3 linked regions of the Neodiprion lecontei genome follow. The main gene of each other region encodes a partner of the protein of the gene in region 3 in a complex. Links are inferred from orthologs where the notes say so. Each region holds a gene or a part of one and is shown on either strand. Other genes may lie near its edges.

The links. Proteins that work in one complex are often made in the same cells at the same time.
Region 1: mediator of RNA polymerase II transcription subunit 24 (region 3) and mediator of RNA polymerase II transcription subunit 8 share a complex: the UniProt entries of both Drosophila melanogaster proteins name them as parts of the mediator complex. The link is inferred for Neodiprion lecontei from reciprocal best matches to the Drosophila melanogaster genes MED24 and MED8.
Region 2: mediator of RNA polymerase II transcription subunit 24 (region 3) and mediator of RNA polymerase II transcription subunit 21 share a complex: the UniProt entries of both Drosophila melanogaster proteins name them as parts of the mediator complex. The link is inferred for Neodiprion lecontei from reciprocal best matches to the Drosophila melanogaster genes MED24 and MED21.

Annotation. Positions count from the first base shown.
Region 1 is NC_060264.1:26,414,946-26,422,652, forward strand, and holds mediator of RNA polymerase II transcription subunit 8, read right to left. Parts: upstream 4,171-7,707; 5' UTR 3,833-4,170; coding exon 3,668-3,832; intron 3,575-3,667; coding exon 3,329-3,574; intron 3,035-3,328; coding exon 3,026-3,034; intron 2,805-3,025; coding exon 2,634-2,804; intron 2,517-2,633; coding exon 2,408-2,516; intron 2,227-2,407; coding exon 2,147-2,226; 3' UTR 1,781-2,146; downstream 1-1,780. Other genes in the region: nuclear pore membrane glycoprotein 210, read left to right, coding at 138-264, 370-426, 602-798. UniProt on the Drosophila melanogaster protein: Component of the Mediator complex, a coactivator involved in the regulated transcription of nearly all RNA polymerase II-dependent genes.
Region 2 is NC_060262.1:34,977,918-34,983,984, reverse strand, and holds mediator of RNA polymerase II transcription subunit 21, read right to left. Parts: upstream 2,750-6,067; 5' UTR 2,661-2,749; intron 2,558-2,660; 5' UTR 2,528-2,557; coding exon 2,486-2,527; intron 2,418-2,485; coding exon 2,306-2,417; intron 2,238-2,305; coding exon 1,852-2,237; 3' UTR 1,781-1,851; downstream 1-1,780. Other genes in the region: histone-lysine N-methyltransferase SETD1, read left to right, coding at 1-436, 506-727, 828-1,085, 1,257-1,430; uncharacterized protein LOC107218980, read left to right, coding at 4,481-4,759, 5,040-5,226, 5,362-5,522, 5,666-5,847. UniProt on the Drosophila melanogaster protein: Component of the Mediator complex, a coactivator involved in the regulated transcription of nearly all RNA polymerase II-dependent genes.
Region 3 is NC_060263.1:14,885,586-14,895,626, forward strand, and holds mediator of RNA polymerase II transcription subunit 24, read right to left. Parts: upstream 6,433-10,041; 5' UTR 6,315-6,432; exon of another isoform or gene 6,228-6,314; 5' UTR 6,084-6,227; coding exon 5,952-6,083; intron 5,877-5,951; coding exon 5,751-5,876; intron 5,670-5,750; coding exon 5,336-5,669; intron 5,251-5,335; coding exon 4,828-5,250; intron 4,588-4,827; coding exon 4,404-4,587; intron 4,084-4,403; coding exon 3,708-4,083; intron 3,627-3,707; coding exon 3,181-3,626; intron 3,099-3,180; coding exon 3,006-3,098; intron 2,947-3,005; coding exon 2,656-2,946; intron 2,570-2,655; coding exon 2,122-2,569; intron 2,044-2,121; coding exon 1,897-2,043; 3' UTR 1,619-1,896; downstream 1-1,618. Other genes in the region: Parkinson disease protein 7 homolog, read left to right, coding at 94-288, 370-531, 591-792, 872-1,050, 1,128-1,475; vacuolar protein sorting-associated protein 41 homolog, read left to right, coding at 8,503-8,523, 8,665-8,802, 8,979-9,261, 9,364-9,562, 9,768-9,922, 10,040-10,041. UniProt on the Drosophila melanogaster protein: Component of the Mediator complex, a coactivator involved in the regulated transcription of nearly all RNA polymerase II-dependent genes.

The sequences.
Region 1 (7,707 bases), on a different chromosome or scaffold from region 3:
TTTTATTAAATTACATCAGTGAAGCTTATTGTGACCTCATTTTTTCCATTTTTTCAATGAGCTTATTTAGTCATTTATTTTTTCGATCATCATTTTTTTCAACATATTATCACTACTGTGTTCCTAAACAATTTCAGATACTTGTTCGAGTGTCACAGTATGATCAAGCTGCCCCAGTCAGTGGCATACATTGGTTGGATTATGCTTACTATCATAGATATACATTTGGGACCTTCACTGCTCTTGTAATAACCTTTTTCTACAGTGAGTCTATTTTATTCTTATTTCAAGTAGTAACTTTTCAAGCCAGTTCATGCGAATGTATTATTTTGTTAATCTACATCTTTTCAAATGCATTTATGTTTTCAGTCTATGGAAGTAAAATGATGAGCATCAACATCTCAGTGAAAAATAAATCCATTTTCGGTAACTACCTCAACCGCTGCTTGTAAATCGATTTAAGTATTGTAAGGCAGTCTTATACGTCAATAAAGTTTTAGTTTTTCTGCCTTAATTTACTTAAACTTACAGTTGTTCACAATACTTGTTTTGCGACCCTTGTGCTGCATGGAAAAATTAATTTTTTCTTTTTTTTCAATAGCCGAAAAGTGTCCACCGCCCATAAAGAAAACGTATACGCCAACTTCACCAAGTGGAAACAAAGTTACTAGCACTCCAAGTCCGGGGAGTGCAAACACATCGCTAAGACCTTTCTCAGCGTTTGAACCTGTATATGGAGATCCTCGGGGATTTTACACGCCTAACGCTAGGCGAAATCGATCCCTACTTAGTCCTTAGTTCTAAAGAAAAAAAAAAATAAATAAAAAAAAAAGAAAACTGGTAAGGACATTCTTCAATAATTTTATAGTTTACTGGTTGTTGAGTGGTCAATTTATCAAATGATAGTTCGACAAGACTGACGAACAATGAAACTCAGACTTCATGTGTTATGCAGTGAAATTTTCCGGTAATTGATCACACATGTTAAAAAGTGAAACAATTTGATCTGACACTATTCTCAATTTTGTTTTTTCGCTTTCCTGATCTTGTCTATTAGTGATATCAAGCTATTCTAATTTTCTCACCTGGAACGTTTCTAAAAGATTTTGTCTATATCGAAAATTTTCATTGATGTAATTATTTAATTAACATTGACGCAACTTATGGGTCTGGGTTTCAACTAGTGACAATTGTTGATCAAAAGGTGACGAATATGTGACTTAATTTTATTTATAATAGACTATATTTTCATACGACAATACGCTAGAATATAATGAATGACATTTTGAGCGTCACATTCAAAATGGTTGTTGAACTATACTAAGGTCGTTTTCAAGTACGTTACGTATGTAGATGTACGTATGGTGAAAAGTAATCGAAGTGTAAATACTTTTTGAAATGTTTTTGTATCGTATTTTAAGATATAACTCAGGTTAAAGGATATATATTATTCTTAAGGCGTTGAATAAAAGATCGTACTATAAAGCCTGTTAGATTCTCCTTCCATCTGACAAGTCAATAAAGATAGATATAATATTCTGGTCAATCACTTTGTCATTGAAAAATCTTTATTTTTATCATCGTTCCTAAAATTCCCAGTGTAAAGTTGATTTTAGAATGAACTGATTGTACGCACAAGACGGGTATCCGTGAAAATTATACTTCATTTGCCTTGAATGGAGCAGTTTATTCATCAATAACAAGTTCGGTGTAAAATATTAATGTATTATCTTTTTTCACTTTCGCGAAATGCAGGTGATATTTAAAAATGATGAAATTGAACGTTTTTGGCGCACTTGTGTGTACACCTATATTTTTAATTAGGTAACATGTGAGTCAGTGTACATCGTCTGCAGTCTACAGCGTGAATAATTAAAGTAAAGATGCTCACTGAAACGATACATTTTGTAATATTTGAATTCTGTTGAACTAGAAGGCTGAAACTTTCCATGTAAACGAAATATCAGCTTCAAGACAATTCACATCTTCACTCTATCCTCAATCTTTGAGTCAATTGATAAAACTTTTATAATAGGAAACAAGGATATTTTCACCAAAAACACTATGCAATACTGGATTTCATAGTCTTCCTCATATATATGACATTCAATTGAGAAAAGCGTACAAAAATCTCCCGACTAAACCTCTAGCGTCCATATGGATGAATCTGTGAAGCTGCTTTAATGTTGGTCTTGATTGCGCTTGGAGCTTTTCCCATTTGGCCCACTGCAAAACATTAAATGTACACAGTTCTTGTTAATCAGTGTGGAATTTATCCTTAAAACAATAGCAAACAAGGTAAATTTATTTATCCAAAATACTGTTTCTTTATCAGGATTTGAACTACATTCAACAATTCCAAGAGTAATTTGAAGCGTGCAATAGAAGTAATGTTTATACTGTGCACCTCCTATTTGTCCTTGCCCAGCAGCTTGTGCCTGGCCACCAGATCTCCCAGCCATTATACCCGGTGGTCCTGGACTCACTCTGGACTGAGCCATCGGTCCAGAATCAGACTAAAGAAAACAATTGTTATTAGGGCGAAATATCAGTGACTATGGCATCGCTAACATGATAATAAATAAGTGCCCACTATGGATGAAATAGGTTTGTGATGAGTGATCAGTAATTACCTTAAGGCCTTTACCCATGCCAATTGCAGCAACTAAGGTGTGAGTATCTGCGGAACTGCTAGTTTGTACCTGGGCAGCTCTGGCACCAGCTTCGCCCTCCCATTCTTCTCGGGCCTTGTATGCGATGTCCCATACATGACTAACCACCTTGTTGTACTGTGCTACTTGTTTCTGAAAGTCAATTATGTTACTGTTAGTACCGACGATTTAGCGTCTGCTGGTGGTGAGTTCCAATCGCCAGATAGACCGATTACTTGGAGGACATCGAGCTGATAAAAGGTTGCCAATCACAGCTTGCGTTACCGATTTGATAATCTGCTTTATCGGTGACATCGGTCTAGAGCGAATGGAACAAAAATGAAATCTCTGACCAACTATGGTTAGTGGCTTACATTGGAATCCTACTTGTTGTTTAGTTTGCATATCAACAGAGAAATAGAATAACCTCTGTAGTTTTTGTGGTCAATGTATTATATTCTCGATACAAACTCGTCAAGATAATTTTACGAACTAGCAGCTTCCGAAAGATTCTCAGATTACACAATTGTTTTCATTAATTACACGAATATCAGCAAATATTTTTTCATGTGAAATAGAACTGTGAGCAAGGGGAGCAGAGTGATCGACAAAAGCGCAAAGGAAGTCGAAACAGCAAAGAATTTGCATACATCTGTACTCAGAATGAATAAATTTACCTGTGATGCTTCGAAAGTGAGATTGGAAGCCTTGAGCTCTAGGTGATTCATCTTCTGCTCAGCCATCGGCTCCGGTTTTGTTCTCAAATAGTCTGGTACCAAATCGTGGGCGAATGTTGATATTCTACCTTCTGTCATTCGGAGCAGATCCTCATCCTTTTCCGGACTCAAGAGCAGTGGCAATATCGTGAAATTTCTCATATTTGGTGCCTTATCGTGGCCAAGAATTTTCGAAAGACTCGTCAGCTGCGGATTAACAACGTTTACGATTGTTTATTATTTATTAGTTATTCGTTATCTCGGCTGAAAGTGATCATTGAAATTCAACCAACTACTTACATGACCCGAAATAATAGCGAAGTTATCGAGAAAATTTGGCCAGTTCAGCGTCTCATATTCGTGCTCCAGTTTGTAAAGCATTCCGGCGATTGCAGATTTTAGATCACTTACTCGCAGAATGATCGCCTCCAGAGCAGAGTCCAACTGTTTTTCTTCTCTTTGCATTTCTACAGAGGACTTGAACTTCGATGATCGGATTAATTATTACAATTTACCGCCGCTGTCAGCGTTTAGACGTACGTACCTTGGTCAGAATCATTCGAATCACTGACCTGTACACTAGAATTTCCGGATAGAACAGCTGATCGTGCTTTCGAGATAGTGTCGACATCTATGCTCAAGTAGTCGCAGCGTGGAACTAGATGTCGCTCATGCGTCAAATTTAAAGTTAGTATCTATTAGCTCCTGATTTGTATTTTCTTCTTGAGTGCAAACAACATGATAATCTATCATAAAAGTAGAATTTTCAATTCTCTTACTTATCCAAAGTTTTTTAAACCGGGACTCAGTTTTTCCCGAAGGTATCACTTATTTCAAGTTAATTTTGCGACCATTCATTACAAAAAATGTAAAATCTGTTTACTCTTGTATATCACAATAAATCGTTTTTTTTTTTTTACTTTTAGAGAGCATTGACAATAATACGGAAGAATATAAAAATCTTACAAATCCGTATTATGCTGTTATAGTTCACAGTAATGTAGATGAAACTAAAACATAAGGGTTCATTTAATCTCAAATACAATATTTACTTTGTTTTTATTTTTTAAATCATATATAATCATGGGATAATAATTGTTTCCAATTACAATTGATGCAAATTTGATTAGAATAATGGTAAATTACTTGTGTTCTTGTTATCATTATTATATTATGTAGAACTATTTCAATTAATCTTTCTCTTCGTTTGTATACGCGTATATAGAGTGGTTCTCCCCGTAGAGTTTTTCAGATTAAATATATGTTGATACGCTTTGTAATTACACAAGTGATAAAATATACATAACAATTGTTTACACTGTTGGTCAACTTTGGCTACATATATTGTGTGTATCTACTTACGCGTTTATATGCATGAATTTCGTTTTAAATCGTTATATCTTATGTCAATATCGTCGCATCCTCCCTTGCGACAGACTCGAATTGATATTAAATAGTTACAGGTGTAACGTAAATGGCTGCTTTTTTTCACAGGGTGAATTTTGAAATGCCATCCAGAAATGAATAACTATGTTACGATGATAGTCAAATGAGACTGTTACGAATATCTTTCTGCCAATTAGTATAACCATGGTTATACGTATCATTGATTTCTTTGTGTACTTGAACGAATAATTTAACCACACAATATTATACTTTCACCCAGACGTTGACTATACCAAATTTTACCACACCCCTGCACCTGTAACGAAACAATTATCATTTTATCATCAAACCCGTTTTTACGGCGTACACAAGTAAACCATTATCTATTATTATTATATTCACCAAATCGTACAAAACTTTACATAATATAGGCGCATAAATATTAATTATACTCTCTGATATAACCAGACAACCCACATTGAAATCATTGTTATAACAAATACACTCTTTGAGATTTAATAATCTTTTGCACCCAATTGTCATTTTTTCACCCTCACATAATAATATTTATATAGCACATCCTGTTACCTCGTCCGTCGCTACATACATTAGATATCATAACATAACATACGCTCATATTATAATTATAATTGAAACGACGTAGTTATTACGTTTTCCTCATGGACAGCTTGAATAATATTAATAATGGTAAAAATATCAACCATAATCATGACTACGATAAATAAGCGCAACGAGGCACAAAGTACTAGTCATAGGGGTATGTCGTTTTATTACAAATGTGTATGCTTCGATTTAAAAACAAATCTAAATGGTGTCTTTAGCAGGAGTATACATCAAGCAATTCAACACTAAATAAGATTTGTATAGAATAATTAGTAAAATTTGAATTTCTGAAGCATTCAAATTGGCAATATTGATCAATGGTATACCAGGTAAGGACACATGGCGATTGCAGCGTACCATCGAGTAACTTGGGGGATTACAATTTCGAAATTCTATTATCTTTGTGAGGAAATTCAGAGAAACTTACACATGCATTGTTTAAACTGCGTAACAGAAATAAAAAATCAACAATGGGATTCGAATTCATGATTAGAAATGTATAACGGTTGTTGGACAACAATAGACCGTCTCTTTAATGATCAATGAAGATCTGCACACTTTTTGGTTCATGTGCTCTTGGGTTTCCTTCGTACACGTGTATCTGATTCGAGTATAACGTAAATATACATCGCAATACGAAGAGCACGGCCATAGTTTTTCACTTTCATATAATTTATTACTTCTGTTCAGCCACGCACCCACCACGCTGCACACGTGTCGTTTAAATACGCACAATATTTACATGACGCGCGATGGGTCATGCAAATATTCGCGATACATATCAACACATACATTGTTTACTTTATCATCTATCTAATATTGTGAGATGGCTTATTATACGTATATAATAAATCTATGTGGTTTGTTAATTAGTAATTACTTCACAGCAGTTTAGTTATGTATATTACGAATGATCAATTTGCAGAAATCCAAACGTACAACACACTCGCCAGTTATACACGCGTATACATAGGTATGTACATACATATAGGTATACATACTATATGCATTACAATAATGCACTATTATTACTATTACTACACATACGGGTGCTGTAATAAAAACAAACTTCACGCTATGTATTCTCAGCATTAAAATTTATAATTGTTATTTCCACACGTTTCTGCTTATAATCAAAAAGCACTTTGCTCAACAAATATTCAACACTCGAAGAATCAGATTCCTTTCTATACAGATGTATACATGTACAGGTAGGTATCTAAATACGAATATAATAGGGTTTATAAGAAAATAATCCGTACTATATATTTTTTTTTCCCCTTCAACTACTCACGATGTATCGAAAATCTGAACAATTTCTCGTCAACAAATGATTTTGTTCGGTTTTTATAGAAAGTGTAGCGATGTTTAAAAAAATTTCCTTTACAGTAATGTGTATTATATATGGTATTAGATTGGGAAAAAAAACTACAACAACAAAGTTACAGTCAATTGAAATTTCGACTGCGCCTTACAGTATGAAAAGTTTAATTGTACACTGTAAACAGCATAGTTGACAGGTAGAAGGTGGATCATCAATTTTTTGTGTTTGCTTAAAACACCTTAGTATATAAATATGTGTACACACATCCAATATATGTATGAATCAGAGCAACCGTGTTTGTCATATATTAGAATTTTGTACCATATGCTAAGTGTTATGTAATAATATTTTCTTTGATATTATCCATAGCTTATCATTTTCTCAAAATCACACTCAACTGTATTTATTCTTTACGCATGATGTTTCTAAATATATGTATATACCAGAGTAGACTGATTTAGACCCAAATTAACCACATACATTACTATATTATACCTTGACATATAATATCCATGCGTCTAGTTACTGCAAATTCGAACTTGACATTTTTATCAATTATACTGTGGTAGAACTGCAGATTTATAATCTATATACATATGAAGGTACTTTAGTGTTTAGCAAATACCAAGCAAACAAGTATATTTACGATGTATACACACACCTGCAGATACTAGAGATCAAGATTTAATAAAGTTCTCTGTCATCGATTCTCGACGAAGTCAAAATTTTACAGATAATATAATATATAGATGATAGATGTTGTATTGTATGCACGCATGTATGTATACAGGGTGTCCCTAAATTGCCTCCCACGGACTAGCCAGCATAATACCTCGTTAAAATCCAACCGAGAATTTCTTTTCCGGAAGCTTGTCCGACGCATAGTTTTTGAATTATAAGCAATAGCGCTAGGCCAATCAGAGTGCACCATTTCATCTAGATTTGCCGCCACGGAAATTGCTGTTTTGTTCGCTGGGTGAATTATTATTATTTGTTTACGAATTAA
Region 2 (6,067 bases), on a different chromosome or scaffold from region 3:
AGAGAAGTCTGATAAGACTGCTAAAAAGAAATATCCCAAATATTCCAAACTCCATACACACCAAAACCATGAAAAAGAGAAAGAAAACATCGAAAATGAGTTCGCGTATGAACCGTTACCACGAAAGTTCGAGGAACCACTTAAAACGTACAAGGAACGGGATCTAATGAGCGAAATGGGAGTGCTTTATGAATTTCTAACAAAAGGAATAGATGCAGAAGATGTTGAATATTTGAGGAGAAGCTACGAAGCTTTGCTGGCAGATGACAACCAAGGATACTGGCTGAATGACACCCATTGGGTTGACCATCCTGCAACGGATATTCCAAGTCCTGCTAAAAGGAAAAAACGAGACGAGTTACGATTACATTCTACAGGAAGCGCTCGGACAGAAGGCTACTACAAAGTTGATATACGCGAAAAAGCCAAACACAAAGTAAGTTTGTGTTACTATATTTCTTGCAGAGAAAGTTATGTTATCTTTGTTTTATTTTCTCATTTTTAGCATCACTATGCTCAAAGCATACAGCGCAGTAATGACATAGAGGATAGTACTGGACCATATTTGGGTGGTGACGGCACAATGAATGGCCCAAAAACAAAGGCTAAGGCATTAACTGGAAAAATGCAGGCCTTATCACGGGAGGCGAGAAGTAATCAGCGGCGGTTATTAACAGCTTTTGGCATTGACACTGACAGTGATTTACTGAAGTTCAATCAGCTCAAGGTAATATTGATTGGAGTATCATTACATCTGTCAATCAGATTATCATGTATTTTATGTGGAACATTGTGACTCAGTTTTGAATGGCTTTCTTATTACTTAGTTCCGAAAGAAGCAACTGAAATTCGCCAAATCCGGTATTCACGATTGGGGTCTTTTCGCAATGGAACCAATCGCTGCTGATGAAATGGTGATAGAATATGTTGGACAGATGGTGAGACCAGTGGTCGCAGATCTACGTGAAACTCAGTACGAGGCTACAGGCATTGGTAGCTCTTATCTGTTTCGTATTGATCTTGACACTATTATCGATGCGACGAAATGTGGTAACTTGGCAAGATTCATTAATCACAGCTGCAACGTGAGTTCAATTTGTTACTTGAACTATACCTAATTTTTAAGTGTATTCGCTTGAATAGTTGACACTTTATGGATGATTAAGTCTTTAAGACTTTGGAATTCAATTTGCTTTTCTACTATCTTCAGTTCTAAATTATTGCAAAGCAATATAATGGTAAATGATTTGTTACAGCCGAATTGTTATGCTAAAGTAATAACAATTGAAAGCCAGAAGAAGATTGTGATCTACAGCAAGCAACCAATTGGTGTGAACGAAGAAATTACTTATGATTATAAGTTTCCGTTGGAGGATGATAAAATTCCGTGTCTGTGTGGCGCACCCCAATGTCGGGGTACGCTCAATTAATTTCTTGTCACCTTACTGTTCATCCCCCTTCAATCAACCACACCCTTCTCATATTTTTGTAAATAAAGTCCCATGTAAACATTTTATAAAAAGCCAATGGAAAATGGTATGTTTTATTCGAAATTTATTTCTTGTTGCCGAACATTTTGATCATGAAACTCTAGTAAATTATCTAACCATTTTTACCTGAATGAATTTACAGAACTTTATGAACATGTATCTATATTTTTCTTTTCCAATCTTGTGACATTAGTCACCAAGATTTTTTTAGTTAGCGATCTGTTTAATGATACTGCTTCTCTTGAGAGATTTCTCTCTTAAAAGATATGTCTAGAATGAATAAGCTCTGCTTAGGCATTTAGAAAAATGTTTATTTGATAATGGCTAAAGTTTCTTAAATGTAAATCGGACAAAATTCATATCACTGGCTCATAGAGTTCGGCGATGGATCTGGTGGTTGATGTGAATTACTTGAAGGAATTGTATTGATAGTACCAAAGTTTTCCTGTTTAAAATTAATATGAGGATTTAAATTTGTATTGATAATTGTGGGAGCAGCAGGATTTTGCATGTCCAGCTGACTCTGCGCAATGTCTTGGAGGGCTGCTTGAATTCTTTGAAGCAAAGCTTCACCCTGTCTGACAGTTTCTTCTAGCTGTTCCGCAGCATCTTGATTTTCTTGTTCAAGTCTGCTCAGACTAGCTACTTGAAGTTCCTGAGAAGAATCTTCACTCGGAAGGCTTTCTATCAATGTATCAATATCTTTGGCGCATCGGGCGATCAGCGTAGCAAATAGAGTCGCATATTCTAAAAAAGTCAAACCAAAATATGCTTTGTGAACTGAATGATCACAAACAATGATTACTGAAACTCACCTTCCTGTGTCTGATGAGGTTGTGGCGTTCCAATTCTATCAAATCCCGGAAATTTAGTAGGCATAGAATATTGTTGCAAGATCCCAACACTGTTGCAGAAGTGTTCAGCTTGCTGTAAGGATAATAATATCGAATTATCGTGATGAGTTTGCCGGCTAATTGATTTTACGGCAAGCTTACTTGATTTATGGTGTCTTGCAATTGGGTTAGACGATCCGCCATTTTTGCGATGCACCTAATATCAACAACGGACTTTTCCAAACGCAATGGTATTGCCAGAGAGGAAGTACACAAGTTTAATAATCAACCAGATGTAGCAGATGCATATTTTGTTTTTTGAAGTAAATTTACGTACATTATCACATCATATCTCGTTACTCTTGACTTTTGACTATATCAGCTCGTGTTGCGCTGCTGTCACTATCACCATTCTCACGACAATCTGTACGACGCATATATCGATATTATAAGTCACATACTTACCGACGCAGCACCACACTGCCACCATGATCCTGACAGTTTCGTTTTTCGCCTTCCCGCCAGTGCCCAGTGAGAACGCGTTTTCAACGGGTGTCAGATTTGGTTTATTGTTAGAGTTTGGCAGAGAGAGCCTTATGAAACATAATTAAAACAGTAAAACGCATGTACACTGCTTACTACATTTTCGTATTCACTTCTCGTTGGCGTTGATCTAGACTAGGTTTTCACGAGCAGGAAAATACCACGAAGCAATCACAGCATTTTGCTGCCGACTTCTTGACCAATAGGAATGCTAATAAAGCAGTGACGGATCACGTGTACGCGTTGAATACGAATCTTCTATTATCGGCATGCCTCATATGGCGCGATCATGGGTACGATCAAATGTTCAATTTACAACTTGTTTACAGTTTATTAATTGAAATTCTTACTTTATAACCTATAATCGAGTTTCCTGTATATCGAGATATTGATTAGCGTCTTTCAAAAATGAAAATGAGACCACAAGCCCAAATACCAGTTCTTTTGATTTATCGTCGAAGTTTTGCGTGAACATGTAAAACAAAAAATTCCCCATCGTCTTTGACACACTTTGCACTGTAGGAAATAATATATATAGGATAACGAAGCTATCTTTCGAATACATTACAATGTCAATCGTATTAAATGTACATTGTAATATTCAATGGAATACTTCTTAAAATTCTACGTTAAATGTGTGAATACAAGTATATTGAAGCTTTGCAACCGCGTAAGTATAGTAATGCTCGATATGCACGGTATTCAATCGGTGTGAACTCTCCGAGGCGTCGTTGCGTAATGTCCCTTTGACACCCGCTCTCTAGACCCACCGCATTCGATTCGTCACCCGTTTAATCTCAATGTTTATGTCTGGCTCTCGAAATATTATCGGCTTCCCTGCCTCACCGCCGTGGTCCATTGACTTGACGTTGACTTCAGCACGTACACATGTCGATCATATGCGTGCTAACACACGTACGACATTTCGGAACGGATGTATGAAAAATGATATCTGGTGTTCGATTCTCAAAACCAATGATCTCATTCTACTTCTTGTTTTTCTTTTTTTGTTTGTGTATAAAGAAGATTTAAGAAGGTTGAAATCCAAAAAACGCCGACCTTATCTGGATAAAAAAATCTCCATAATCTGGAGCTGATACCGGTGAAGCAATTCGATATACGTATATCCTATTTTTTTATTTCATAACGTCCGTTCCAAAATTAGATATATTCCGCGCGCCTAAACCCAACTCGTTTTACAACGTACCGAAATGTCGTAAAAATATCTAAAAATTTCCAGAAGCATGATTTACACGTTAATATTGTTCTGAATATCGGACACTCCTCAATAACGGACAATATTTCTAGTCCTGAAATTTCACCGTAGAGAAAAACCTCGTTTATCCGAGGTAACGTGGGGAGGAGGTATCTCGGATAAGCGAAAACTGGCATAACACGGAAGAAATGAAAAATGTGAAGATTTGAATGATTTTTTACGAATTTGATATGGTAGAATGAAATTTAAACACAAAGGTACATGAAAGTGAAACTCTAAGGAACGTAGATCAATCTCTGGGGAACAAAGCATTGTTGCTACATATAAGCAACAAAGTAGCAATCGCAAAATACTTCGCACGTACGGCATATGCGTACTGTATTCGATCACACACCTCGATGTTACAGTGTTCGAATAAGTCCGTTGCCTCATATTGTGAAACTTGGTTGATCGAAGGTCGGACAAACCAGGTTTCATTGTACACCATGAATTTCCTCGTAGTCGTTGGCGGAAAAATGATAAATATTCAGTACGATACAGTTCTGAAGGTTCAGTTGCTGTTCCGACGTGAAGGAAACATGAGTGAGAGAAATTTGACTATTTTTATTTGGATTTTTTGGATAATTCTTCGTTTGTGCGTCGATGTAGAATGCGGCAACGAAACCGGACAAAATAACGTATTATTTACATTTTAATTTATAAATTCTATTTACTAAGTTTATATCCAATAGTTGTGTCACAAGATGACAATTTTCAGATGCAGTATAGTTCTCTAGTATTTCTACTTTTCAGTAATTTATCATGATATCGGGTATATAAATTATGGTCAAATCAATTTCATACTGCATCTAATAGGTTGTCAGGGATGTGAAATATTTTTCCGTAATTCGTTTTTGCCAACAGCTGTAACGACCAAATTTATAAATATTTCTGTACAGACGTGATTACTTGTTTTAGACTTGGCGAGAGTGGAACTTCAGTCCACCACATCGTAAGTGTGTGAATCTTAAAATTGACAATCAATTCAGTTTGGCAAAGCCGAGCCTAAATAATCAGTGTGACTATGAATCCAAGACATCTCAGCCACCTAGTTGGCTTCAACACCAACGGTCCACACTATTCCAAGATTTTCCTGATTTTACTGGTAAGACATTTTTTTTAGTAGATAATTGCCACTCGTATTGGCGAATATACGAATTATATCTTGATTAATGATTCACTATTGACATGTTTCATCTCATATAGTGATAAAATTTGTTATTTTTATATTTGTCTTAAGGAATTGATTGGAAGGTATCAAAGCCACGAGAAAATTTCAAACTTACTCTACTAGCGAAACCACATGTGAAGAATAAAAAGGAATGTCCTTGTGATCCTAGAAAAGATTTTAATCTGTTGCAAAATATGCCTAACAAAAAGGACTCATCATTGTCTATAAAAGTGGGTAATTTAGGTTGAGTAGCTGTATATGTAACAGTCGATATTAATTTAAACGCTCATTGTAGACAACAAGTCATTAGTACAAGATCTTAGGTTCTTTGGTTTGTATTTTGTTTTTCTTTCAACATATCTTTCTATTTCAGAAAGGTGTGCCTGCTAATGGTACATTTATCGATATATTTACTGGCTGTTATTATTTTGTCATGACAAATAGAGAAGAAAAAAGTTGGTTGTGGGGTCCATATTTTTACAATACCACGTATCCTGTCCGTGATCCAACCGTGAGATGCCAGTTTGAAAATGTTTCAAATGCGGTTATTGAAACGTGAGCTTCAATTTATCTGTTCAACACCTAACTTTTCAGGTACATGACGTCTTAGTGTTAGAGGGACGGTAAATTTATTTCTTGTGCTGTTTTTTGCGTGGAATTCGTTGGAGATAAAGAGAAAATGATTGAAACAAAAAAAAAAAATTTAACCCTTTTCGAATTTTTTTTTCCGCAACCAAATTGGAGTATCGTCAAATCTTATGAAAATAGATCTTTA
Region 3 (10,041 bases):
GGAAAAAATAACCGGGACTGAGAATTATTGCAAAGAAAAAAATACTGTGTCAAAAAAAAAAAATACAGAGAAGCGAGCAGTCACATAATTTAAATGAATGAACTGAAAGAACTGAAAATCGACAATATGATAAGTGACGAAGAAGTAGAGGTGATTGAGTCGACGGACAACAAGAAGCTTGAATTGGACAATTTCAATGATAATGGAAAGCGTGCGTTGATCATTATGCCTGAAGATGCACAGATTTCTGAAATAGTTCAAATGGCCGATATAATGCGAAGGGCTGGGGTGAGAGACTAACTCTGAATTAAGTGTCGTACTTCTTTACTTTAAAAATATAGCAGACCTTCAATTGGCTATTGATTCCAGATCAGTGTTGTAATCGCAAGTCTGGATGATTCAGACTGCATACGGGGTAACAGTAACATATTCTGTTATGCAGACGCAGCGCTTTCTGATGCCTTGAGAGAACCATCGTTCGACGTGGTTGTTCTACCTGGCGGTTTGTTAGGAGCTAAATCGCTTGGAGAGGTAAGACATAAAATTTTGTAAGATTTGAATGATGTAAACTAGATAATAAATTGCTGCAGTCGGAATTGGTTGGTAAACTGCTGAAAGAATTCGAGGACAGCCACAAGTGGATAGTCGCAATAGGAGATGCTGTGCCGGTGCTGCGTAAGCATTATATAGGTGCTGGAAGAACTTTTACGTGTCATCCGCTGATAAAATACAAAATTGAAGGATCCGAATACATGAAGTACAAATATATCGACGATGACGTACACGTGGATGGTAATAATAAATTGTCATCCACGAATTGTATCAGCAAAAGGGGAAACAAATTGATTAAAATTGGATTATGAATTTTCAGGTAAGATAATTACCTGCAGAGGTGGTCCGAACACGATTCAGTGCGCTCTGAATCTCGTTCATTTAGTCTGCGGTCGTTACATTGCTGAAAATATTGCGGAAAAATTGTCTATCAAATATGACAACGGATACTGCAGAGAGTGTTGTGGAAATTGTAAATACTGCTGTCGTGAAGACAAGGTAGCCAACTAATGAGAAATTATAGAATTGCTATTTCAGAATAATTTTTAACTCATTTAATACGTAACATGATTTAGAAGGAAATTGATCCCAATATTGCGGAACGATTTTCGTGCTCGACTTGCTGCGGGGTGAGTTATTCAGAAATTGTCGAATGGGAGGAATGCAGAGTTCTGTCCAGTATGTTGGAAAAAGAATACATGATAAAATATAAAATTCAACGACAAGAACTTAAGGATAGGGAAGAAGACAGGAGCATAGAGGAGAAAGAATTACAACAACAAATCAAAGAAGATGAAGAAGAATTAAAAAAACGTAGAGAAAAGTGGACGAATATGCCGTGCATGACTCAGGTCTTTGATTTTTCACATCAGTCTATGGTTCAAGCTAAAATGCTGGTGCTTACTTTTTTTTCTCACTTGTAAATATCGCAGGCAGAATATGACAGGTACATGCGAGAGTATGCGGAGAGAGAAGAATCGCGCTACAATGACAGAATGCAGAAAATATACGATAGACTACATATGAGACTTAAGAAATCGAGAAGGCACCAGGACATGATTGATTCTATGAGGAACATGGAACCGAACGAAATGGATGCTGCACTCGCTCAGATAACTTAGTAGAGTTAGCAATTTGTAGGAGGAACAGAAAACAAAGAATTTTATAGGTACTTTAAGTAAGTTTTAAAAAAATTGATTTTTTTTTGGCATCAATTTCTTTGTAATCGAATTACTAGGAAAGTAATTATTTTCGATCGATAGAGACTAAACTTAATTTAAAAAAAAAAAAAAAATAATAATTACAAACGTAACAGGATGTACAGGTCATTTTTGTGCTTATATTCTACTTTACAGGCTTCAGATTTATGTTCCGCAGCATGCATAAATCTCTCGCAGTGGCTTTTCGTCCTGCTGTTGTTTGAATATCGTACAACTTGAGTAATAAATCAGTCGTAAATAACTCGGGCAGCGCTTTGAGCAAACATGGAACCTAAAAGAAGAATATCGTTCGGTTTACGAAATAACTCTGGAAATTAAACTTGGTTCACTTCGTATGACCTATTCTTACCAAAGTTTGCGGCATTCCTTGTAGAACGATTTTTGTCCTGTCCTTGCCGCACTGAACGATGAACCGTAGAAATTGTAGGATGAAATGCGTCTGCTGTGATACTTCGCCATCCTTCCCAGCGAGTAGTGTAAAAGTTTTGAACAACATATTCAGCGCAGTAAGCAATGGCTCTCTTAAGCGAATAGACTTCTGCCCGTTAGGTTGTCCCTGAGCCTGAGGAGAGCTCGTGTCAAATATCGAACTCGAGTCCCCCGTTTCGTTCAGTCTCAATATTTTGTTGGCCGGCACACCGATCGCATCTAATTCTTCGCTGTCTAATTCGCACCTTGCACGCTTACGACTGTTTCCTCTGGGTGGGTTCGAGTTGTTGTACTCCAAGGTTGAATAGATACACGAAACGCACAGCTTCGCCAGTACAGAAGACTGAGGTTCGACTAGCTCCTCTCTCCTGAAATTTGGAATTATTTTACTCCCGCTTTTGTTGGAGTAGTTGAGCAATCGAAAGCCGCAAAATATTTGGCACAAAATTCTCACTGCGATCTATTGTAGAGGTACTGAGGTATGACGTGATGCAGCAGGTCCAAGGTGCAGTTTTCAATGTCCAAGTGAAATACTGCAAACGTCAAATCCACTGCCTGATCCAGTTCCTCTTGGTATCTGTACTTCATTACTTCTTTGACCAAATTCGAAACGAACCACAGCGAACCGCCGGTGTTCAACAAAGATTCTAGCGATTGAGTAGCTTCGATGTTGATCCAACCCCTTTGCTGTATTCCATGCCACACAGTTTCCAACTGCTCAGATATCGGCTGCCGCGATATTATACTAAAATGAAATGATTTAACAAGACCTAGGTTAATAACTAAAAAAATTTTCATAATTACCTGTGCGACATTGAAAGCACCTTTGTCTTGGATTGCGTCGGAGGATGAACGTCGTACTGCATTTTACGTATTATTTGGCACATTAGGCTTGATCTGAAAGAGTTTGATCAATTAGGAAGCGATAATTTAATTTCGAATCACCTTGAGTCGACGTGAATAATCGACGCAATTTTACCTTTCTTTGAAATTATCCTGCATCTCGTCACTGGAAATAGGAGTCAGGAATTGTTGAACCATATTCATGGGCTTCAAGAGCGCATCTTGATGCGTTATGCTGACGTGAGCGCAGAGCCAGGCTGCTGCACATACCGGCAAGCAGCAGGCCGCTGCTCTCAGGCCGTCCAAGGCGCGTTTCACATCGCCAGCTCCGAGTGCTCCACTTTCCCAGGCGCAGAGAAGCTCTTTGACAGCGCCCATGGCCGAGCGACAAGCGATGTGCCATTTCATGTTACTAGACTTAAAGTCTGGATCCGGGGAATTGATTTGGGCAAGTAACGTGTCCACTCGAGCTGCGTCAACGTTTTGGAGCATCCGACGCGGGCATTTGGGCTTGTTTCGTTCTGCCATACACTCTCGGACCCATTGTTCAAAGAACGAATCACCGTCTTCTTCAAGAACCACCTGAATAGCCAACAGGAGAGAGAAATTTGAGACAAAATCAAGAGGATTTGGATTTCAATGTTTTAGTATCAGCAAGCTCACTTCAGATCCGTATGTTTGAACGATAGAGCAGAGCATTAGAAACGAAACATCAAAAAGCATTGCTCTTGTCGCAGCCATTTTCCCTGTCACAGCATCGTTTATTTGTTTACTACATTCGTTGAACTTTATCAGTTTAGAGACGAAGGTTTTCAGTTTTCCCTCGACAGTTGCAACGGCCAAGATTAATTCGAAACTCTTTCCAGTCAGTACCTGGCACAGCATGCTCAGCAGTGCTTCCTGAATTTTCGTATAATCTGTATTGAGAGTCTTCAGAATTCCAGCCAGAGTTGGTTCCGCGCGAATTATTACTTTTGGAATTGATGGCTTGGGAGTTTCTGATGGTTCTAATTTCTGTAATGCTGCAGTTACACCTTCTCTGTAATACAGAACAATAAAGTGAAAATTCCGTCAACCATGGAATGTTGTTTATATTTACATATTTGTATATTTATTTATTTATTTATTTATTTATTCATATTATACGGGATTTTGGCCCACTTATAAAATTTTAGCAGTAGAGAAATAGGTGACGCCGACAAGCGCAAGTACATAGAATAGAAAAAAAGAAAATAAGAGTAATAGAAACACCAGTATGCAGAAAAGTACGATAACAGCATAATATTAAGCCAAAGCTCTATTCGAAAGACAGCACCCTGTCCCTGCAGAGCATTTTGAACCTGTTATAAAAATTATTACCGTTGGCTGCTAAGCTGCTTCGCCTGTTTCTCAGTAACCAAATTGACTTTTTGTAATTCGTTTAGCAGGCACTCGATGCAATTACAGGAACAAGCCGTGTCCATGATATCAAGCAGAGGAGTAAATTGGAGCAGCAATTCAAAGGCGTCCAAGATGTCTTGGGAGTACTCCAACTTCTCTTCACCTATCGAGAGAAATGCGAGTATTATTACCATCAAAATGCAATCCTGTATTATTATACGGTATTGTTCTGAATATAAGCCAAGGAATTTTGTCGTTGATAGCACCTGGCAACATCCTCCTCGTCTTATACATAGACCCATTTTATGTGTGGGTAACTAAGAAAAACACCCTGAAATACTGTCTCGGAATTGGGGTCAGCTTATACTCGGAACAATACGGTATACAGAAAATGCTCTCTCACCGCTGAAAGTCGTTACGTTTAATTCTTTCAAAATGTGTGGTACTTTCAAAAACGTAAAAGCACCCCATAGCGACTCTTTGGAAGTTCCGGTTACGTCGTGCAGACACATGAAGCAGGCGCGAATAATTTCCGAATACAACTTGGCGTTGGAGTATCCCTTGATTCTCTGTATCATCAGGAGCTGATTGACCAGAACTGCGGTTTCGGTGCTTGGATTAAGCAAGACTTGAACAGCGAATAATGGTTGCAAGCAATAAGTGATCGGCTCCTTTTTGTTGTTCTTGGAATGCGAAGCCAATGTTTCTATATCAAGGTTGCAAAGCTGTTTCAACGAGCTCTCAATTGGTACTGCAGACTTTACTGTACTATTCTTCTGAAGAGATTCTATGTCCTGGCACTTTTTCACCACCTCGATATAAAGTTCTGAAAAAAGACAATAATGAAAGTTTTAATTTCTACAGGGTACCAGATATTTCTACACCCAAAATCAAATCTCAATCTGTTCTACCTTTATCATCATGCTTAGCTAGGCACATCATGGCACAGAGGAAGTCGGAGTTAATCATCTGTTTCAGAATGCTCGCCGGTTTATCGATCAAATCCGTGGGATAGGTGAGTGATGGATTATTTTGGGGTATTTTGAGCACGTGGAGATAACACAGCAGCAACCAATGCACTATTGAAAGTACAGAGGCAGCTAATAAATCTTCCTCCGGCTTTCCTCGACAGGTTATACCGACTTGAATTGTTTCAAGAAATTCTAACAGGCTTATGATACAGTGCGGCTTGTGAAATGCACCGTATTTGCTTATCCTTTGTAGAACAGCTGCGTAAGACACTAACTGAAAAATGTGATGTATTATTGTCAGCAGATTTTTGGAATATCACCTTTCGAATTTGAGGAGAAAAAGAAACGGGCAAACCTGCGAGCTCAGCGAATGTTTTAAGTACGATAACACCAGTTGATTTGGTCCGGGGCCCACTAAAGCCTGCTGCAGAATGCAATCTGCCAAATTGTAGACATCTCCGCTTACACCTCTTGGTAAAATCTGATAACAAGTGAAATTTAAGTCAAATGTGAAATTTTCACAGCCGTTTGATTACCAGAATTCAGCGGTACGTACAGTTTTTATATTGATTCCCCATTGTAAGTCGTTCCAACGTTCACGCCAAGCCCTTAATAGCAGAGCCTTGAGGCTGCTAGTCTTGCTTGTAACCTTAGTCTCCATTGTTCTCGTCGATAGAGGATTGCGCATAATTAATCAAAAGGTAAATACAGCCTGTCGAGTTTCGAATTAGTGATACTTTTAGCCTGTCATACGTATTGAGACAGGATCAATACATCGGTTGAGACTATTTCACAGTACCTTAGGCGGGTCAACACGACGTTTCGAAAATTGCTGAAAAATCGACGCCATGCATTGATTCATTTTAACAACATTTAACGCGAATAAACCGTATGTACAATTCTTGAATAATAAAATTACGTATTTGTTGTCGTGATTAGGTTAACCGAAAACTGCGAGACGTCATCGCCATCTTGACATCTTCTGTTAATAACAGTCTCAGACAGCCCCTGACACTCACCACTGCTCGTATACTAAAAAATTGTACGCGTTTTGTCCCCTTTTTTTAGTTCCTCTACGTGGCGCTAGTAGACCTTTGACACGCTCGCTCGCTCGCTGATCGCACGCAAGCTTTTTAGACAACTACTAGCGCCACCAGTGGTGGAGATTGGCGGCAGAATCGAGGGACATTTTGCGAACCACTTTTAGCAGCGTGTGCACGGTCTTACATACAGGTCTGGCAACGAAGCCAATTTTCTACAGAGCGGCGTGGTTCTCTTGCTGTCCGTGGTTTTTAGTGTTTGAAATAGCCATGTCGCAGCGCTGCTATCTAGGGATGTACGTGGGGTAGGGATGGTAGGGATAAAAATGTGCCAATAACAATATTATTATTACGTTGGCGCTGCATTGCGCACGCGTTGATTATCTATCTCTCGATCACAACGCTGGCCTGGCGGCCACAAAGTGAGATACATAACCGGCCGTGAAATGAACCACCCCCATTACCTTCGTTGCCTGTATGTAAGACCGTGAGCGTCTGTCAGGGGGCTGACCGTGGTTTCGCATATATGTATATGGGCATTCGCTCACTCACGCGTTTTTATCACGTTATTGTTGCTAGTAACTAGACCGCAGCGACAACTGGTTGTGCCGCTAGAATCGACCACTCCTAAGATTCATAGACTTAAAAAGATAGACTAAGCGCTCCTGTAAGAGGCACTGACAATTACACATAAAGGACAGAGATATACTGGGAGTACTGCTCTCTCTTTTCAATCGGCGTCATGGCGGGAGACAACGGAGCAGTGGAAGTGGAACAGCTATAGATATAGGTGCATAATTTCGCCTCATTCTCCTCTACCGCCTCGATTCCCGCCACAAATATCGTTAGAGAGGGAAAGGAGTACTCCCGGCATATTTCTGTCCTTTAAATGTTTGCTTCAAGCGGCTCATAAGAGCGCTCAGTCTATCTTTATAAATCTATGGTAAGACCGTGAGCCATATAACAGTATATTATCATACAGCATATACTTGCGTGCATTATTCATGTTTGTCACCTAATAAAAATTATGAACAGCATTTCATATTCAATCACTTAATTTTAATGTTTTTATTAGTATTATTCCTATTTTTAAATTATAACTTCTAATTTATGTTTTATGTACAATATAGGTAATAAAATTTCCATCCTTCCATTTATTTTCGATTTCATTCTTACCACTGAGTAGTAGGAAGGAGACAACACTCTGCAATAAAACTTGTCCCCAGTTTTAAGGTAACGTAAGAGGAATTGTCTAAATGCGATTTGAGCGCCTCTTACGGAAAAAAGTGAAATTTTCGCTATAAAATGTAGAAAAAAGGGCGGCAAGCGAAACCTATAAGCCTTCGTTTTATAAACATACTCCGTAAATTCGTAAAATATGCATCTAAAGTGACTAAAAATCAGTAAAAACCGAGTGATTGCTTTTCTAATCTCAACCGACATTAAATCCAAGGAAAAGGTTTGCAAACGGTGAATCGTAAGATCATATGGGGTTGGGGGTGAGTGCGCTATACGGGCTTACATCACAAGAGGTGCTTAATTAAATCCGTGACATGCTCTAAGGTTGAAGCCACTGGTTGAACTGCAAGATGGCCTTTATATGGTCCAGGCACACGATTGGTTCTTGGAGAGTGTTGCGCAGAAACACCCTTATCTTCTACGTCATAGGGTGCGTTCAAATATTAGCTCTCAGTGCTGTTAACAATTTTTTATCTCTCTTCTGCTGCCGAGTCTGTGGATGGCTCTGCCTCTATTCTAGCGAGATTTCAGCGCTGCCAGTTAATTTCGAAACGCACCCATAGTCGAGAACGTTAAATCGCCTGGGACAATTTTGGAACAGCTTTTACCGTCTGTCGGATCACGTAATCATAGATCTGTCATCAGCGGTCATCCCCCTTCCATCCCTGCTGTGCCTTTTTTTTTTCAAATGACACATCTTCGCGTGCTGTACACACGAAACTCGTATGTGTCACATCCATGTATGCGAAGACCAATATTTTGATTCTCTGGCGTGTTGCTGCTGCTACGTGACTGCGTAAAAAAATTATTTGAAAATTTTAACCACAGATGAATAATAGTGTAAATAATGTAATTATCGTTCCCGATTTACGTAGACGTAATCGATCTTCTCCTATTATTCTATGGACAAACAAAATCCCAATTAACTGTATCGAAATCGAGGGTGGTGAGTTGAAAGTTAAAGCTGAAACTACTTTCCTCTATTTTCAGGATCAAGAACATAATCAAGATGATTCAGATTCTGATGTGGAAGAGGTTGAACCACGATTGAAATACGTCCGAATGAGAAATGATCTTGATAGTATCCTCCAAAATGATGCCGCGAGCTGCATCGCTGTTCACCCAAAGGTGCCATTAACGCCTCTTCTGTCATACCTCATATTCCTCACATGTCCGCTCAGCGATGATTCCTTCTCATTTATCTTCCTCGCATTCGCTTTGTTTCGCACGAAGCAGTAGAATGTGCGAGTACGCATCGAGGTCAGGTTAGGGTACAGAGAGTCCTAACGTACCGCTACTTTCAGTTTCTCTGCCTGGGCTCGCATTGGGGAATGATCCATATATTGGATCACCAAGGAAACAGAATACGATCCAAAACTCTTCAAGCCCATACCGTTGCCGTCAATCAAATATCCATAGATCAGAATGGAGATTTCATTGGATCCTGCAGCGACGATGGAAAGGTTGTTATATATGGTCTATATAGCAAGGAGAATAACCACAACATGAGCATGGAAAGATTGGTCAAAAGTATTGCGCTTGACCCTTATTACTACAAAAATGGAAGCGGTAGAAGATTCCTAACGGGTAATGCAGCATTTCATTTTTATCTGAGTTTTTCAACTTCTTTCAACTCAATCGTTTGACAACATATCTGATGCTGATAGTTCCTACATTGCAAAATTTCAGGTGACAGTAAACTAATTTTATATGAAAAGACATTTTTATCGCGGATCAAACCTACAGTTTTATGTGAAGCTGAAGGTGGTGTACGATCCATATCCTGGGCTGGTCAATTTGTAGCTTGGGCTTCAGATACTGGGGTTAGAATATATGATTTATATGCTAAATGTTCCTTAGGAGTAATACAGTGGACTCGATCCATAGAGTGAGTATTTTTATTTTCAATTTTTTTGTTCACTTGCGTTTGCTTATTGTGCCACTTTAGGTTTTTATGAATTTCATTCTTCTGTGAAATCTCTATGTCAAATCTGAACTTTTACACCTATTAGCTATCATTGAAGCTCCCTCAAAATTATTCGCAAATTTAAAAAGTGTTGCAGCGACCCTCAACTCTTGTGATTCAATTTCAGTGCTTCACCCGAACATTACAGATGCAACTTAAGGTGGTCTGATAATAGAACGCTGCTAATAGGCTGGGTAGATACGGTTAGAATTTGTCAAATACGCAAACGATCAGCACAAGAGATGGCGAATCGAGATCTATCTGAATACGCTGTCGACCCTGGTATGGTACCTGTTTTGATCATTTCCTGTGCTCTGTTTTAATAAAATTGTCACCACCAACTCCATTATAATCCAAACTCCTTAAGAAGTAACTGAAACTTTTGAATTTCTCTTTCAGTC